Linked DNA regions of Schizosaccharomyces pombe. The gene in region 4 interacts genetically with the main gene of each other region. Each region holds a gene or a part of one and is shown on either strand. Other genes may lie near its edges. The genes, in order: dbl2, rad55, rad2 and fbh1.

Region 1 (5,113 bases), on a different chromosome or scaffold from region 4:
GACCAACACGAAGGCTTGCGTTTTGTCTTTTCGCCTCTTTGATGGAATCAATGATGCGTAGACGGTTTCCCTCAAAGTCCATTGCCCACTGGTTCAGCTGACTACAGAAGTTAGATCATTGAGACGAAAAATGATTATAGCATACCAAGATGCGATGGTTACATATCGTTCCATAATGAACTGAATGCTTAACTTGAGGTTTATTCCCAAACAAGTAATTTAACTTATAATGTTTTTTTCGTACTATAAAAGTTCCAACTATGAGTGAAGATCGAAGTTTCTATTCAAATGTCTATTCACGGTTATGGCAGTAAGTAAGAGCAGGAGGTAGTTGTCATAGTAGAGTCAAGTGTAAATAAAGGGTTCGCATCATATAGCAAAAATGCCAGTTTCCCTAAGTAAGAAAAAGAAAATTTAAATAATTTTAAAGACCCTCTCTGATATTAGTAAAAAGAACCTTAATACTTCTTATGCAAATTTTGGCGACTCTTCTAACTACATGTGTATTAATTGTACATTACTACATAGCTTAAAAATTGATTTATAAAATCAGAATAATTGTAATTTTTATTTGATATTGCAATACAAATTCTAGTTTTAGCGATATATCTTCTCAAGTGAAGTCATTTCTGGGACTTCCTTTAATAAAAAAATTTGCCTATCTTTTTCAGATATACGAGCTAATAAATGAAATTTTTTGATTTAAAGTCTGTCTGGTTTTATTAGTGTTACTCGCTTATAATTACAGGTTTTTTGATGATTATAGAGCAAGCTGATATCTGGAATACGCACAACAGTAATTACATTTTTTTAATAGTACAAAATTGTTTTAATTTTATCCTTGAAAATATTTCATGATTTAATTAATATACTTAGTTCTTGGAGCATATAATCGAAATTACTTAGCTTAAAGAAGAAGAAGCAAAGCGACAGATGCCATAATGGTTGATACTCATTTTTTAACTCCCCTTCAGTTACTTCTTGTTGCAAATTATAGACAGATGATTCTTCAGCTGCTCAATAAATTTAATAGTTTTAGTGATTGCAAAGATCAGTCTTCTTTTTTGAAAGGGTATTAATTAGAATTGACAAAAGATTTCAGGTTTATTATTACAATGAAACAACTTTCTTCATCTTCTTGGGCTTTTTTCTCCTAAATTTCGTCCAAGTACTAAATTTTAGGTAAATTTCTATCAGTGCGCTTAAACCAACTTTAATAACTTAATTTGTACCTATCTTCGACATGGTGATGAGAATTGCAAGTTCAAGATTTCGAGCAGAATTACCCTCTATAGGCCTTTTATGTTGCTAAAATTATAACATAAGTACTTTTGCACCTAATCGTATCATCAATCATCTTTGATGAATTTTCTTGCCTGCAAACCTCAAAAGCGATAGAAGAACAAAAGAATCAGTTTTATCTCCAACTGCTATGTTTAGATTCTCTATTATAATGCGACGATAGATACAAATTTACAAGATAAATAATTTTACATTACGAATATTTGAAGCAATCTGCCTCTGTAAGCTCAACTGTAAACTTCATGGTTTAAGGTGAAAAAAGACATCTTTTTTTATATATCATTATGTATACACACAGTCTGTCCCTATGAAACTATCAATCGGGATTATTAACCATTGTTTCCGTTTCTCGATACAGGATATTGAAAATTATCTAACAGTTTTGCTTCCTTGGGCACTAAGAGACCTTTTACTAAAGAAAAACCCATCAAATATTAGACCTTGTAGATTAGTAAAATTAATAAAAATAAGCATCTCTCTTGAAACCATCTCAAGAGATAATCTGCTTCTGCTTGCGTATTATAAAGTTACCTTCAATCATTTCGGCGTGTAAACAAGTACCTCATATCAATAACCAAAAGCTCAACTCGTTTGTAGTTCATAAAGAAAAAGAAAAGAAAAGGAAACCTTGTTTAAGGATTCTACAAAGATGTAATTTTCTGGCTTGAGATCATTTACTTTCCTAGATTTCAACTTTCTGCTGTATACCAACCATTTCCTAACTACCATCCAACAAAAGCACGTAATTCCCATTCCTAAAGCGAGAGCAATTAATGCTCAAATGAGGTTTATACATGAAATAGATATTCTCACTCTTATTCTTTAATTAATTATTAAATAGGGTGGTTTGTGAGTTTTTTTCAACAATATTAAGCTTTTCGTAAGCCACCTTTCGGAACTGCCTTTACAGGCTTTAAAACTTATATTCTATGGATACAAGTTCCAATGTTTTTCATTATCAAGTATTGTGGACGTCTGATAAAGCAAAAAAAGTAAAAGTTTGGAAAGATGGGACAATGCGCTTCCACAGCTTCAATAATCGTGGAATTCTCTACGATTCTGATAACCGAGTCGTAGATGATTTTTTCCTTAACAACAAGAGAATTGTTCTGGATTCTGAAATTGAATTTAATAGAACTATTGTTTACGTTGAGAATTTACAAACAACTACTGAAGCGAATATTCCACCTATACCGAGGAAATCAAAATTGAGTGAGACAGGGAAGAGGCCAGCTTATTTATTAAAACCATTCCAGCCTCCATTTCACTCCGCTAACTCAGATGTATCTAACAATTCAAATGGTGCTTTATCGTCAAATATGTTAAAAACACACGCTCATCATACAAATTCAACAAAATCCACGATCTTCCGGAACGCAAATTTGCAATCTTATGGAGTAGATGACTCAGATATTGGTAGTTTGAGATGTTCAAGTAAGCATCAACTGTCAGTAACACCGGAAATACAACCCAAAGCTAAGTTTAGACCAAACTCATATCTAGCTTCTTCTGTTGAGGAATCTAATCGAGCTAACAATACCTCTCCCTATCCCCCATCTAACTCATCCGTAACTGCGCTACCGAAACCTTCGAAAATTGCATATATCCCTGTTTTGTCAAAACCCAAGTCTTTTAATGGCACCTTGGTTGAAGATCCTGTAGAAGAATTTGGAGAAGACGACATAGCTTCTGACTTTTTTTCTTCCCCTTCTGCCGATCTCGAGGCAGATGATTTTACCACTCTAAATAATTCAAATGCTGGTCATTTGTTACAAAACCTAAGTAATGATAACGTAAGTGTCTCCGTGAAGGCATTAGAAAATGGAAATGAAGAAGTTTCTAATAATCATGCTCGATCTCCTCATTCTTCCCGCGCTTGTAATACCATACCTTCCAACAAAAACGATGGGCTAAATGATGATCATCAAAGACAAGATTCTTCTGTTGCAGAACCCAGTCCTACTTCTAAACGTCTCCGTTTGACTCGCCTTCCGTTACCTCTGCTTCGGAAACCCACGGGGAAACGACAAAACTTTATTAATATCACAGTTACCGACCCCTCAAAAAACTTGTACGAAAGAAGTGTCAAAACTGCTGCCGAGCTGGCATCGCTTCAAAATGTAACAGAAACAACTGATAATGAAATACCAAACTCTCCTGATTTTCTAGATGCAGCATCAGAAGAGGATGAACACATTCCTTCGCTAGATTCGTCATCTCTTTTAACACCTTTGGCTTTGCCCAACAAAAAAGCCTTTCAACCCGTGAAGTTTCGTGTACCGTCTTTTTCATCTCCTTTAGTTAAACCAGCATCTTCGTCCTCGTTTGGTAGGAGTCACTCTCACTTAGGCACGTCCCTTCGCTCAAACGAACTTAATGGATCTAGTGCTTCTTCTTCAATCTTTCTACAATCCAACAATGCAGTCAATCCTAACGTTTCACCTTCTACTGTGCTTGAACATGCCAAACATCCTTCCTTGGCCAAACATTCAGGTGTATCGCTGAGAACAGGCTTGTTGATATATCCTAAATATGCAAATGGTTCGAAAAGAAAAGACGGTTTTGGAGCTACTTCTATAATATCTTCAGGGGAACATTCGTCGTTGCCTAAAAACTCGAAATCCAGAAATGTGTCGGTATTTTCTAGCCCTTTTAATGTCCCTTCGTTTACTGTTTCTTCTTCGGACCAAGTCCAAAAGAAAAAAGGAAATGTTCCTAATGCTATTGAAACGGACTCTTCTCCTTCGGATACCATTTCATCCTCGCCTACTGTTCGAGCTGTAAATCTCTCACCCAGCAAAAACCAAAAGCCTCCGAAAATACTTACCAAAATTCCGGATATTTTTTCTAAAGCGGGAAAGAAATCTCCTATTTTACCAACTTTTCAAGAGTCTTGTTCGTTACCTATTGAGCCTTTTTCGTCAAACATTACGGATTTGCCATTTGTAAATACAGTAACACTTGCTTCAACGAGTAGCAAGATCAAAAGGGCAAAGTTAAAAATGCTAAAATTTAAGCATGCCATGACTACACAAGGACGCGATCTCGATTCGGACGAAGATGGTGACTTTATTTGAAATTAATTTTTCTTTCGTACGTTGAAACTTCTCTCTCAAGCCGACTTTGTTACATATAATTTTTAATTCAAAAAACAGTACTGAATTTTGATTTCTGGTTTCCTTCATGTATTATTATCAACATTTATTTTTCCATAGTTCATTTAGGTTTTAGCTATACTTATTTAGCTCTTTTACATATAATTAATTTTTTTTTTTTAAACATTAGATTTCAGCTTGTTTTTGGTGTTGTTAGTACAATTCTAGGTTTTGATTTTCATTTTTTAGTAGCACATACATTGCTTTTTCAAAACCTTGAGTTTCTTCTTTGAACCTTTGAGCAAATAAGTATCAGATTTATTCTTTTCTTTTAAAAAACCAACTATTTGGGTTATTATGAAAATGTTGTAAATATTTTAAGTTAAATTATCTTTTGTAGTCATTTATTTTCTATACATGTTTAAATTTTTCAGCACTAAATAGTGTCTGTTGGTGAGCTCCAAAAATCTTGTTAAAGATGGGTAAAAAGCGAAAACAGACCATAAAAAATGACTATAATGAAAAAATTACGAAAAGAAAGGTCAAAAATAATTTGACTGATGGAAAAGCTAGAGCGTTAACGGTTTTTGAGTCTTTACCTTTAGAAGTTTTAAGATTAATATTTTTGTTATCCAATAATTCGAATTTGGCAGTGACTTCTCGTAGTTTGAGACACCGATTATCTTTAAGGAATAATACGCCTATCTTCATGCCTA
Region 2 (3,589 bases), on a different chromosome or scaffold from region 4:
GGAGGATAACTGTGATGGGTATGGGAATACGCGCTCAGCTCGGAAAAAGAAGGATCGACAAGTAGTTCACTTTGAACAGAGTCAACGAATGCTTCACCAGCAGAAGCTCCTATATAACGGGATTCGCCGTTAGAGTCAACTTTTATTTTTCCAATTAATTTCATGATTTCGTCAACGCTTTGATCGCTAGCATCAGCATTGATTCCATTGTTCGTATCCTCTGCTACGACCGTTGGATCTTGCTGAATTTGTGAACAAACAAGTGCACCTTGTGTAAGGGTATCCACGTCACGTTGACTATTGGTGCTTTCACTATTGAGGGAAAAGACATCTGAAGATAATAGTGATTTTTGGTTGCTTATACGATTGCAAACTTCAATCAATGAAGGTGTAGTATAAGTCGAAACTTTGGTGGAACAAAGACGTTCAACAATATATTCTAAACACTTGTATCTTTTTGAAAGATCAATAAAGTAGTCCTTAGAATAATCCATTTCTTTTTCATCCTTTACTGGATATGTGCATTCCAAATTATTGGAAGCACAAGCTTTGCATGGGTTTGCCCCGTCGCAACGAACTTTCCGGGCTTTGCAGTTAAAGCAGGCTAGAACCACCCTTCTTCGTCTCTCCATAGGAACACGACGTCTCCTATTATGCTGCTCCTGCTTCATGGCTTCGAACAGAACCGCCGTATTTTCAGGTGAAAATTCATGGCTCATTTTCCCCGTTTATGTTAGTAAAATACCAAGTTCATACCAATTTCCATAAATTTAAAATTCTTTTTCTATATTACAGAATTTCAATTCTGAAAAGAGAAAATGCTTAACTATGGCAATGACTTGGCAGAACTTGATTAGTAAATGCCTAAAAGAAAAAATTGTAGTACCCCAGCTCCTATGTTCTACTGGAGGGCGTAATTTAGTGTAGTGGTACGAACCTTTTTTATCAACGAAATCTAATATATACACATATTATTAGTATATGAGACCTTGTTTATACATAACTTTAAGAAAAAATCTAACCGATTTTAAATTTTTGAAAAATAAATACTGCTTGTATTGTACTTTGAAAATGGGAACTTCCGTCAATTTCTTTTCGTTGACGAGCTTATACGTTTATTGAAGCATGGCATGCAATCGATTTTTGTTAATAATTTTCCATTTTAGTATTTCTTCAATAAAATGAGTATTGTGTACATAGTAAACTAATTGCACACATATCGGTCGACACGCTATTTCATAAACGGAATGTAGTACGAAAATAATAGCTATTTTGATTAAAACCCTCTTGAGTTTCAATACAAATGTAAATGTTGCGTTATATGAACCCAAAGTTTAAAGTTCAAAGTCAAAGGCAGTAATGAATCATAGATTCAAATGAACTTGAGCTTACTCTTGCATTCCTGTTGACCTACCTAGTCAAATTTCCCATTATGTATAAAGGTTACGAATTTGTTACCTTCTAATCTGCTTAACCTTAAGACTAAAATAATTTATTCCTTATAAGAAACAACATTTAATGAAATGATTGCAAAGTAAAACACGTAGGATTTCCTTTGTCGTTCTACCAACACCTCCAAACCTTACAACGTATCGTTGTTTCTCATGTAAAGGGAAATTTTCCTATATCCTTTTTATGCTGTTATCAATTTAATATAAACTGTATCGCTGTTATTCTAGTAGGTCGCACTGTGCTGGATTTAACCTTCATTGAAATAAATGCTGTCTAGTCAACGTATGCGACTTCCAGCCTAGCTAACTGTGTCTAATACTTTTTAGATCGTCTAGTGACTCAACCTGCTATTCGTGCGTACGAAGCATTTTCTGCTCCAGGTTTCGGCTTTAATTCAAAATTATTGGATGATGCGTTTGGAGGAAGTGGTCTTAAAAGAGGGTATATTTCTGAAGTATGTGGAGCACCTGGGATGGGAAAAACAAGTTTGGCTTTACAGATTACTGCAAACGCTCTTCTTTCCGGTTCTCGTGTGATTTGGGTCGAAACTTGTCAACCAATTCCCATGGAGAGACTTCGTCAACTATTAGACAATCACGTCCCTTCTTCCCAAGATGAAGAGGAAAAATGCGATACTGATGAGTTATTAAATCTTCTCGATGTTGTATATGCACCCAATTTAGTGAATATTCTAGCTTTTTTACGAAATTTCGATCAAGAAAAACATCTTAAAGAAATTGGATTATTAATTATTGACAACCTATCAATGCCTATTCAACTTGCATATCCAACCAGTCCAGAAGATTATGCTTATCTACGTCTTCGTCGTAATACCAGCAAAAAAAGCTCCCTTTCAGATTCATCTCAAAAAGAAAACACTTTGACGTTAAACAAAGAAAATGAGTTCTCGAGTAAAGACGACTCGAATTTTGCATTTCATAACTCCTCTACCAAAACAACAATAAACCGCAGAAAAAAGGCAATCGGTACAATCAGTTCTTTGTTAAGCAAAATTACATCCTCTTGTTATGTGGCTATCTTTGTTACCACCCAGATGACTTCAAAAGTTGTTAGTGGGATAGGTGCTAAGTTGATACCGCTTCTCAGCACTAATTGGTTAGATAATCTATCTTATCGGCTCATTCTTTACAGTAGGCATTCAACTGAAGAATCAAAAGATGGACAGAGTCGTCCCTCTCATCAGCTTCTGCGCTATGCATTCATGGCAAAGCAGCCACCAGCTCATTCTGCAGAATCAGAGTTGGCTTTTCAGTTAACATCTACTGGTATTCAGGATTATCAAAGTATTCCTACCAATAGCTCACAACGACGTAAGAGATCCATTTTGGAATGTGAGTCCTAGGTAAAAATGGTGGCTTCAGTTACGAATTTTTTAGCATAGTGATGGTTGTTTTGCCCATATCTATTAATTTATTATACCTATTCATTACGTTGCATAAACAACTATGAATACTTGTCGAGTGTTGGTCAAAAGTTTCTCAATGATTTATTTGTGATCTCATATCTTTTCATAATGTATCATAAGCTATTTTGTTCGTTCATTTTTATGAAATTGCTAATTGTCATAGAGGAGGGAAATGATTAAGATATCTATATGTTTGCTGATTGACAAGTCCTTATTAATTTTCAATTGTTTAGGTGTCGCATTCAGTGTACGGACAATAATGACATTATGCTTTCGACATATAAATTCCATGTTGACATAGTGACGTCTCAAGCCTAGCTCAAATCTTTAAAACATGGGTTCAAGTCGCTAAAAATCTACCTGAACTTTACAGCTCTTTTGTTACTTTCGAAAGTGTAGTCTAATAAGTCCATTTTGAGCCTGACCTTATTTATACTTCGCTTTGTCTAGTGTGAGTTGGCGGATTAAGTATGTTTTAATGAACATTGTTTCAACCTACCTCTAATTAACATACTAACCTTTTTATTAGTATTTCCTTTCTCTTTTTATATATACATATTTTCAAAGTCTTAAATCGTTTATCAAGTAATTAGCAAGATGATGGGCACTCAACCATCTTACTCTATTCATACGCTTCGCGCGCCTCCTAAAGCGAAACAGAATCAAATTCCTCCCTCTACTACCCGTCGTGCAGTAAATGTTAATAAACTC
Region 3 (3,911 bases), on a different chromosome or scaffold from region 4:
TAAGCTACAAAATTCAAAAAACTTAAAAAATTCAATACTTGCAAAGCAAAGAAGCAGAAAAAAAGATCCAAAAAAAAAGGATTACATTTATTTTGTTGAATTTATTATTTTTTTTAAAAAATAAATAACTTAACTAATGAATCACTATTTAGCAATTCTCTTTAGATTTGAATCCATAAAAATCATAACAATAAGCGAAGCAATATAACTGGTATTTGCTTATAAAATGAGCGATTCATGCAAGCAGAAAGTTCTTTAAAAACAAAAGAAAACATTAAAATAGATTTAGCACTTCACTTTGGCGTTATAATATCTCCATGTTTTTTTACATGATCACGATACACTCGATATGGTAAAACCAGTGTATACTTTGGCATAACAAAATCATCTCCAACAAACGATTCATCCTCAACATATGTTTTAAGAAATTGTAACACTTCGGTTTGATCAGCTTTAGTGAGGTCGATGTATATATACAACAAATATGAAAATTGGAAAATGGTATTAGCAGTTGCTTTATAAACCACAAACGATTGGTAATATTGTCTACCTTTGTTATAATAGTCTATAACATCAGGAATAACACTGTTTTTTTCCTTTTCATTAGAGACATCTTCTCCTTCGTAATCGGCAGGTGCCAATGTTAAGTATGGCGAGCTTTGTTCAGACATTGTTCTTGCTTTCACAGGTAAATTGAGGTTGCACTGGGATATGAGTATACTGTAAGCAAGGCGCGCAGCATCTCATATAATATTCTTTCAACGAGCCGACATTAACTAGAATTTGCCAACGTAAGATCAGAATGACGTTTTGATCCGCACGAAATACGTCGGTAAAGGAACCTTATTAGTAGAATATTGCAATATTGTTCGTTGTCTGCATACTACACAAGCGATACCATAAACTGGTTACGATTATATTTTCGACGATTCAGTAGCAGATATGGCGAGTTTCAAATAATACTCTCTTGGTAAAATGCCTATTATCCAACATTGTTCCATGAATCAAGGCTATTGTTCTATTAAAAATATTACGTTGAGCAATTCAAGCGGCTTTCTCACTACGGTATCTCAGTACCGTAAAACCACTGGTTTATTCTCATAAAAACAACCTTATGTTACACAGACTTACATCTAGCCAAGTCAATAGGGTTTCGGTAAAGTTCCAATGTACTTTTCATCCTATTCCTTATCCGGAAAAAGGAATCGATCATTTTTCCAGAATTTCTGATGGTACATTACCTTTTCGAGATCTTTTCGTGGTAGTAAACTGCGAGGTGATTTACATTTTACAGCCGTGCTGCCACCAAAACCACAAGAACCTCAATTTGGTAATCTTAAAATTTCTAATTTGTTCCTTCTAGAAATCCTTTTTTAAAAGCTATAATACATGGGAATTTTCAGTATAAATTGGCTGGTCCCTTTCCTTGTATTTACATTCTTTGGTCGATCATTCTTTATGGAAAAGTAACATGTGATTTACTGAATCGACTCTTTGACGTGGATACTACTGCTGGTAGCTAAGAACCTTTGTGTGAGTGAGCAAAGTAAAAACTGCTCGATTTTGAGGAGTATAATACATCTAGCAAAAATTGAAAATTTAATAAGAAGCTCTAAGCTAGTTTTGGAGAAAGCGTTGTTCGGGATCTCGTAATATACATAAATAAGTATATTTGCTAAACGATGGGAATTAAAGGTATGTTACATTTAACGCTAAAGAGTTTATCTTTTACTCTCTCCTTTACTTAAAACTAATCTGGGTTAGGTTTGGCTCAAGTACTAAGCGAGCATGCCCCAGCCAGTGTCAAACATAATGATATTAAAAATTATTTTGGACGGAAAGTGGCTATAGATGCGTAAGTTGAAAGACTAAATAGAAAGCGAAAGTCTCAGTTGACTTGGCAAAGACTGTATGGCTTCTGATTTTGTTTGTAAATATGGGTTAAACACTATGGTGTACAGTTTTTATTGCTAAAGAGCAAAGCTCTATGTCTTAACTCGAGACAAAGATATGATACAAACGAAATATAGAATAAAGGATGAATAAATTTTCACTAACAGTGACTCGGTTAAATTCATTGCTCAAGGTATTTTACATCATTTCTTTACTTTGTTGGTTCTTGAAGTTGCAAACACTAATAGGTCAAACTCTATTCAACTGATTCTTTCCTTTTCGAAGGGTTGATTTATAAAGTCTTCTTGAGGTACTTTATTAATGCTAATTTCGTATATTACAGGTCAATGAGTCTTTATCAATTTTTAATTCAAGTTCGCAGTCAAGATGGTCAACAGCTAATGAATGAACAAGGCGAGACTACTAGTCATTTAATGGGAATGTTTTATCGTACACTCCGAATTGTCGATAATGGAATAAAGCCTTGCTTTGTCTTTGATGGAAAACCACCAACATTGAAGTCAGGGGAATTAGCTAAACGTGTGGCCCGACATCAAAAAGCACGAGAGGATCAAGAGGAGACAAAAGAGGTTGGTACAGCTGAAATGGTGGATCGGTTTGCCAAACGTACGGTCAAAGTTACTCGGCAACATAATGACGAAGCAAAACGTTTACTAGAGTTAATGGGAATTCCCTTCGTTAACGCACCCTGTGAAGCAGAAGCTCAATGTGCCGCTTTAGCCCGTTCAGGAAAAGTTTATGCTGCTGCTTCTGAGGACATGGACACATTGTGCTTCCAAGCTCCTGTACTTTTGAGACACCTGACATTTAGTGAGCAAAGAAAGGAACCAATTAGTGAGTATAACATAGAAAAAGCATTGAATGGTTTAGATATGTCGGTGGAGCAGTTTGTAGACTTGTGTATTCTTTTGGGTTGTGACTATTGTGAACCTATTCGGGGAGTTGGCCCCGCTAGAGCCGTCGAGTTAATTAGGCAATACGGGACTCTCGATCGCTTTGTCAAAGAGGCGGATCGATCAAAATATCCTATTCCGGAAGATTGGCCTTATGAAGATGCCAGAAGACTGTTTTTGGATGCAGAAGTACTTCCTGGTGAAGAGATTGAGTTGAAATGGAAAAGTCCCGATGCAGATGGCATTATACAATTTCTGGTTAAGGAAAAAGGTTTCAATGAAGATCGTGTTAAATTGGGGATCAATAGACTAGAAAAAGCCTCAAAGACAATTCCACAGGGTCGTCTTGATTCCTTTTTTAAACCAGTCCCTTCTTCTCCCAAAAAACCTGTAGATACAAAGAGCAAAGGATCAGCAAAAAGGAAAAGAGATTCAAATAAGGGTGGTGAAAGCAAGAAAAAGCGTTGAAAACGAAGTCATGTAATTGTTATTAATCTAAAAAAAAAACTTAAAAAAAGCAAGACGCATGTAGATAAAACTATACTACGCTATAATAATAGTAAATCTGTTTAATGCATGACTTTTACGTAAAAATAATTAGTCTAAGGAGGTAATTCTGATCATATAAGCTAATAATGGTATACAAAACTCGTTTCTAAGTAATAATATGCCAAAAAACAATCTGGCTGATACAACTCAAAAAACGAAAAGCAGTGGATTCGGACGATGGATCAAAGATCTTTAAAATAGTTCAATTTCTTGTGAGCCAGATTCTTGCATTGAAGAAGCGTTCTTCAAACTAAGAAATATGTTCCTAATTGAAATTAGCAAAGGCGAAAAAACTAGGAGCAAAAATGCTTTATGTCTCTTGGAAACAACATACCAAAAAATAGCAACCGTACAAGCAAATGGCATTTGGTATTGTAAGGGCATTAGCCAAAAGTTCACAGTTTGAAAGAAGGGCCAGACCATATAATTAGCCTTTAAATGTTAGCAACAATACAACAGAACCATTTAAGAAAGAAAATTTAGAAATTAAGTGTACCTTTAAAGTGGGCCAGAAAACAGCTTGAAGTTTATCGTAGGCGCCCCTGAAACCTTTGC
Region 4 (5,257 bases):
TCTATTCATATAGACGGGTAGTCACCCGTGATTATCAACAAACGGATCTTAACTAGTATTCCAACATATGACATATAGTGACACGCAACGTAGTGTAGTATGCTGACACGCTAATAAAGGCAAACGACCTTCGGTACCTTAATTCTAATACAAACTGTTTATAACTGCGTTATATTGTTAGCAAAGCCACTTAACGAGAGTATCAAAAGTTTGTTTTTTGTTTATTTAGCGTTGCGTGGGAATTCAGATGATGGGAAGTAATTTCTTGCTTGCTAGTTTTTGAAATCATCTTTATGTATGTTTTAGGTATAAACACTTAATTGGGTCATCGACTCACTTAATAGGAATCTTTTAAAGCACAAATATAACTTGATCTTCTGTTTATTTACACGAAGGGTTATTTCCATGGCTTTCTGTGTGTAATACTACAACTACTTTTAACTCTAACATGGAAAGTGCAGCGACAGATTGATATGAGTTTACGTTTATAAGCGAAATAGTAACATAGCTCTATAATGAAAATGTCCACACGAATATACATATTATTAAATGATTATATATTAAAGGTTGTAATAGCAATAGTACATCAATCAATATGGCTAAAATAGATTTTAAAAGAAACAAATCAAATAGTTTCTACTGATCATGTACAGCAAACAATTGATTTTCAATAAATAGCATCGATCTTTTAAGCCGTTCAGATGTATTCGCAATATAGTTCTGCCAAGCGCCTGAAAGAACTCCAAAAAATATATCCCATACTGATTTCTCATTTGCTTCGACCAAAAGATTGTATCCTTCAGCAGGGGTTTCATAAAAAAAGCTAAACTTGTCAATCTGCCAGTCGACAAAAAGAGCAACTTTTCCAGGTTGCAGCTGATCTTCCGTTAAAATGCCACCAGCAAAACGAACAAGTCCGCACTCTAATGCGTATAATTTGGTTATAGTGTCATTAAGGATAAGGCGTTTTTTAGCTCGCGTAAGAGCAACATAAAGGATATTGATTTCCTCTTGCAAGTACCTCGAAGATCCAATTCGTGAAAAAGAAACACTATCAAATTTTGGTCGAAAATCATTACCCAATTGAACATTATCCCATTCAAGACCCTTAGATTGATGTGCTGTTGCCAAAATAATACCGTTGTCACCATCGTCTTTAGAGTCCATCAATCTTTTTTCACAATTGTCCAATCGGCTCAGAAAGCTTTCACTAAATAATTCGTCGGCCATATCATATACTAAAGCCAATTCGGCATCTTCTTCGGCTGAGTTTTTTACGTGCACTTCAAATTCTCCCCAAGAGGAAAAGTCTTTTAACTTTGGGTGCGAAGGGCGCTGCCCATGCGCTAGTTCTGAACCACTTCGCAAAAGTTGGAATGCTTTTTTCCTCATTGAGCCAAGAATAGCAATGGGTATCTCCTTAGGTAATGACACTGATAGCCGAATCGATTGTAGGATTAATTCTGTATACGTTAGCTTTTATCAATATAAACCATTGCAAACCTTTATTAGTGCGAAAAATAATCGTATGAGGAAAAAATCGAAACGCTCCACTAACATTGTTGGGATTACTTGCTGAAGACCAATACGCATGGTCATTTTGTACCCCTTTAAGCTTAACGTTCTCTCCCTTTAATGAAAGCAAAAAATTTGCATATTTTGCAACAGAGTTTCCAAACCGGAAACTCTTAGTAAGGCACAGTTGCTTTGTGGAAGGGTACAAATTTTCATTGAAAGCACATGCATTTGCACCACGAAAACCATAAATGCATTGGTGTGCATCCCCAACGATGACAATTCGGGCGTGTTTCTGACGATAAATAAGGTCGACCATACACGGAGTAAAATCTTGAGCCTCGTCAAAAAGAATGTAGTCATATTTTGAAAAAATATTAGGGAATTCATACAAATGTAATAATTTCATATATGCATCAGGTATGAGAGGAGCATGGGTATATTCAAAGTTTACAATAAGAGACCACAATTTTTTTGTATAAGCCAAAAGCTTCTCTTTAGAGAGTTTTGTAACTTCCAGGCTTCTTTTACTTATATGACGAAAACCAAGCTGCCAGTCAGTGGAGTGCATGAACCTATTTAATGTAAACATGATATGAGAAGCTACCAAGCTAGCGGATGGTGTACCCGGATTATTTTTCCGATTTGCCTTTGGAAATGCAACTTGCAAAGACAAAAGTGAAGCTATAGTAGAATTTGATAATTGCCGCTCAAGTTTAGCTTGCGGCAAATCGGCCTGTGCAAGTATAGCACCATAAGCAAGACCATGCATGGTGGAGCATTTGACATTAAATGGAAATCGTAATTCTGCGTCTTCTTTTGCGGCCTTGTTAAAAGCAACATATAAAATTTTATCTTTTGGACGAGACTTGGCAAATTCCAATAATGCTTTGGTTTTGCCAGTACCAGCGAATGCTTTAACTTTTAGAACCTCTCCTGGGTTTAATTGACATTCAACAATCATTTTTTGTTCAGAGGTAAGGCCCTTAGTGTTAGGTTCATCATAAGGGGATTCAATGACAGCTACAATGTTGTGAATCCTAGTACACGAAGTAATTAGTGTTTGTGAAAGTGGGTCACGATAATGTTCATAATCTGTGCGGACTACAGTAAAGATAGAGTCCAGAAAATAAGCAAATTCTATAGCGGACGTTGAAGATAGCATATAAAGCGTATTGAAAAAATACCACAAATCATCTTCAAATAGTATCCCTACGAACAAACTTAAAAGCAGATTGCTAGTAGTAGTCCTACTTTTTAGAGAAGATATAGCTTCTCGAGCTGCAGGGGAGAAAAAGCTTTGAACCTGCATGCATATTGAGCTTATCCATTCTAAAGGAACATCATCTATGTGAAAAAAAGATGCTTTAATAGAACTTCCAAGATGATCAACTGTATGAGTCTCACTGACAAGATGGTCAATAGCATGTCCAATTTGTTCCACTTTCATAGGACCCGGGGGAAGCCCACAAATATTTTTTATTTCATCTGATTTACTATAGTATTCTCTCTCAGCTGGTGTGGATGAAATTTGGGTGCCATTGACAAATCCATTCATCGCTGAGCTCGAAACACCAGCAGCATAAGAACCACGAAGCAATCGATTTCGACGAATTCGTAACTCATAATTTTTCTTTTTCCAAAAAAGGTCATTAGAAGAGTCTAAAATAGTTTGAAAGGATGGGAATACACGTATGAAACTTTGGATATCCTGAACAGAAAGAAACCTGCAGATCAATGGGATAATTTCAAGTGGCAGTCTATAAAATTTGCAGCTATGTAAATGTTGAGCACTCATATAACTAAGAATTTGCTGACTGGGTGCTTGACTGAAAAGAAAGAACAAATTGCATTAGAAGAATTGCTTGTTGGTTGGGTATGTGCAAATTTAAGAGTAGTAAAAATACCAGAACTAGTTTATGAATGAGCAACGAACATTAAAATAAATCCAATCTTTTAAAATAAAATACATTCCTTAACCTATATAATTATTTCTCTCCGAAGCATGCTGTCGTTACAGAAATACTTTAACCATCTGCAAATTGAAAGAATTCCCATAATTTCTTATGTAAAAGTAAGTTTCATTGAATAAATAATTAACTCAAAAAGACTCTATTACTTTTTGTGTTGAAAAAATCCTCTACTTTATTTTGTAAATTGTAATTTTTTATTAATTGATGTATCATTCTTATTCTCATGATTTAACTAATTATTTATATAATTATTTCTCATCAACGACCTCTTGGTTGGTTTTTATTATACTTTCTTTAGACACTATAAATGCCACGTTTAGCAATATCACTTTTGTTGATATTTTAATGGAAACCGGTTTCACCAAAAATAGAAGTTTAGACCAGACAACATGCGGTATTAAATTCGGCTTCGTCAACTAAATTTTTTTCTACACCTAGTCTATTTATTCATCAATGCTCTCAATTTATTAAATGAAACCGAATAGAAGGATAAATCCTCACAATTTTCTTTAATTGCGGAAAATACATTTTACGGTTGGTAATTTCTGGGCCGATAACAAAGAAAGAATTCACCAGTAGTCAATGATGTTGATCCTTAGCGAAATTCAGCAAGTCAAGCAAAATTGTTTATAGAAAGAAAAAATTAATTAAAATGTTGATGTCCAGGCTCGAATCAACACCTTTCTCAGCTATTTTTTGAACCTTGCTAATCGCCTAACTATAAATAAATTACTATTTATTAAGTAGTCAATAACCTCCACCAACTTCTGAATCTCAACTTTGGCAGATAATCCGTGAATCGGTTTTGGGAAAAAATATTTTGTACATTGATTTACATAACATTGGTATTTAATTTTTGTTCCCAGTCCTTCGAAGTATAAAAAATCTAATGCTCTCATCATAAACCATGAAATTACTGATATCTCTTCTATGGAGTATATTCTTTTCCATAGTTTATTCAGAAAAAACATTACTGGTAAAACAATCAGATTTCTTGCGTATCATTTGCTAACTGCGGCTTCTTGCTAGAATTTCAAGCATTATGAATTGTGCAATGGCATTTACTCGAAATCGGAATCTGGAGGGTCTTTAAATCCAGCAATTTATGGTATGTACATATCTTTTTTTACGCTTTTATTTAAAAAACTTACGACGTTAGTGAATTGGACTGAACCATGGGGTCAAGAAGATGAAGTTGAGGTTTTGATATTCAATTGGAAAGAAATCCGCAAGTTAGGTGCATTCCGTTCTGATGATCAATTCACTTACATTTGCGATTACGATGCGGTATACACGGATCACCTATGTGAAGCCGATCAACTGGGACTATATTTGTGGAACTCAACGTCAGCAAAATCCATTCGTTCTTATATAATTCCGACAAATGCTGACCCTCAAAACATTATATATGAAATCTCTCAGTCAGGTTATTATTGCATTTGGTCTCATTCGAAAAAAATGTTACCTTATCAAGCTCTTGTCAATTGGCAAAATGCGTATGGTGGGCTTCCCGCTTCTCAATTCCCTAGAATGCCTATATCTGGTGGAATCACAATCGCTTATAGTGTAATTCTTGCACTTTGGATGTTTTTCCGATTTCAATATAAACATTCGATTGTTACCGTTCAAAAGGCAATTATGTTCTTGCTAATCTTTTCGTGTGCTCAACAGGCTGTCACTTCTATTGTGTTGGATACAGAAAATTTGAGAAATCGGGGGAACTTCACATGGTTAGGAGAGACTCTGGTGTCAATTTTGTTTGCGTGTCA

What was found.
Region 1: of fbh1 (region 4) and dbl2, extra expression of one rescues a mutant of the other (dosage rescue), as found in Schizosaccharomyces pombe (one study listed by BioGRID).
Region 2: of fbh1 (region 4) and rad55, a mutation in one rescues a mutant of the other (synthetic rescue), as found in Schizosaccharomyces pombe (2 studies listed by BioGRID).
Region 3: mutations in fbh1 (region 4) and rad2 are lethal when combined (synthetic lethality), as found in Schizosaccharomyces pombe (3 studies listed by BioGRID, with this or other methods).

What each region holds. Positions count from the first base shown.
Region 1 is NC_003421.2:308,308-313,420, forward strand, and holds dbl2 (DNA recombination protein Dbl2), read left to right. Parts: upstream 1-2,006; 5' UTR 2,007-2,231; coding exon 2,232-4,379; 3' UTR 4,380-4,588; downstream 4,589-5,113. Other genes in the region: qns1 (glutamine-dependent NAD(+) synthetase), read right to left, coding at 1-101, 146-174; SPOM_SPCC736.02 (uncharacterized protein), read left to right, coding at 4,876-5,113.
Region 2 is NC_003424.3:2,065,894-2,069,482, reverse strand, and holds rad55 (DNA recombination mediator, RecA family ATPase Rad55/Rhp55), read left to right. Parts: upstream 1-1,568; 5' UTR 1,569-1,718; coding exon 1,719-1,734; intron 1,735-1,778; coding exon 1,779-2,815; 3' UTR 2,816-3,041; downstream 3,042-3,589. Other genes in the region: SPOM_SPAC3C7.04 (transcription factor), read right to left, coding at 1-719; eisosome BAR domain-containing protein Pil2, read left to right, coding at 3,479-3,589. UniProt on the Schizosaccharomyces pombe protein: Required for radiation resistance and meiotic viability and acts in recombination and recombinational DNA repair pathways.
Region 3 is NC_003424.3:5,389,033-5,392,943, reverse strand, and holds rad2 (FEN-1 endonuclease Rad2), read left to right. Parts: upstream 1-1,521; 5' UTR 1,522-1,682; coding exon 1,683-1,695; intron 1,696-1,764; coding exon 1,765-1,855; exon of another isoform or gene 1,856-2,032; intron 2,033-2,040; exon of another isoform or gene 2,041-2,236; coding exon 2,237-3,275; 3' UTR 3,276-3,358; downstream 3,359-3,911. Other genes in the region: SPOM_SPAC3G6.07 (uncharacterized protein), read right to left, coding at 294-671; SPOM_SPAC3G6.05 (Mpv17/PMP22 family protein 1), read right to left, coding at 3,549-3,621, 3,691-3,788, 3,853-3,911. UniProt on the Schizosaccharomyces pombe protein: Structure-specific nuclease with 5'-flap endonuclease and 5'-3' exonuclease activities involved in DNA replication and repair.
Region 4 is NC_003423.3:2,731,352-2,736,608, reverse strand, and holds fbh1 (DNA helicase I, ubiquitin ligase F-box adaptor Fbh1), read right to left. Parts: upstream 3,400-5,257; 5' UTR 3,314-3,399; coding exon 1,504-3,313; exon of another isoform or gene 1,464-1,503; coding exon 637-1,463; 3' UTR 525-636; downstream 1-524. Other genes in the region: SPOM_SPBC336.16 (uncharacterized protein), read left to right, coding at 3,693-3,908; SPOM_SPBC18A7.02C (seven transmembrane receptor-like protein), read left to right, coding at 4,396-4,464, 4,518-4,596, 4,648-5,257. UniProt on the Schizosaccharomyces pombe protein: Involved in ATP-dependent DNA-unwinding in a 3' to 5' direction, and ATP-ase activities stimulated by the single-stranded DNA-binding protein ssb1.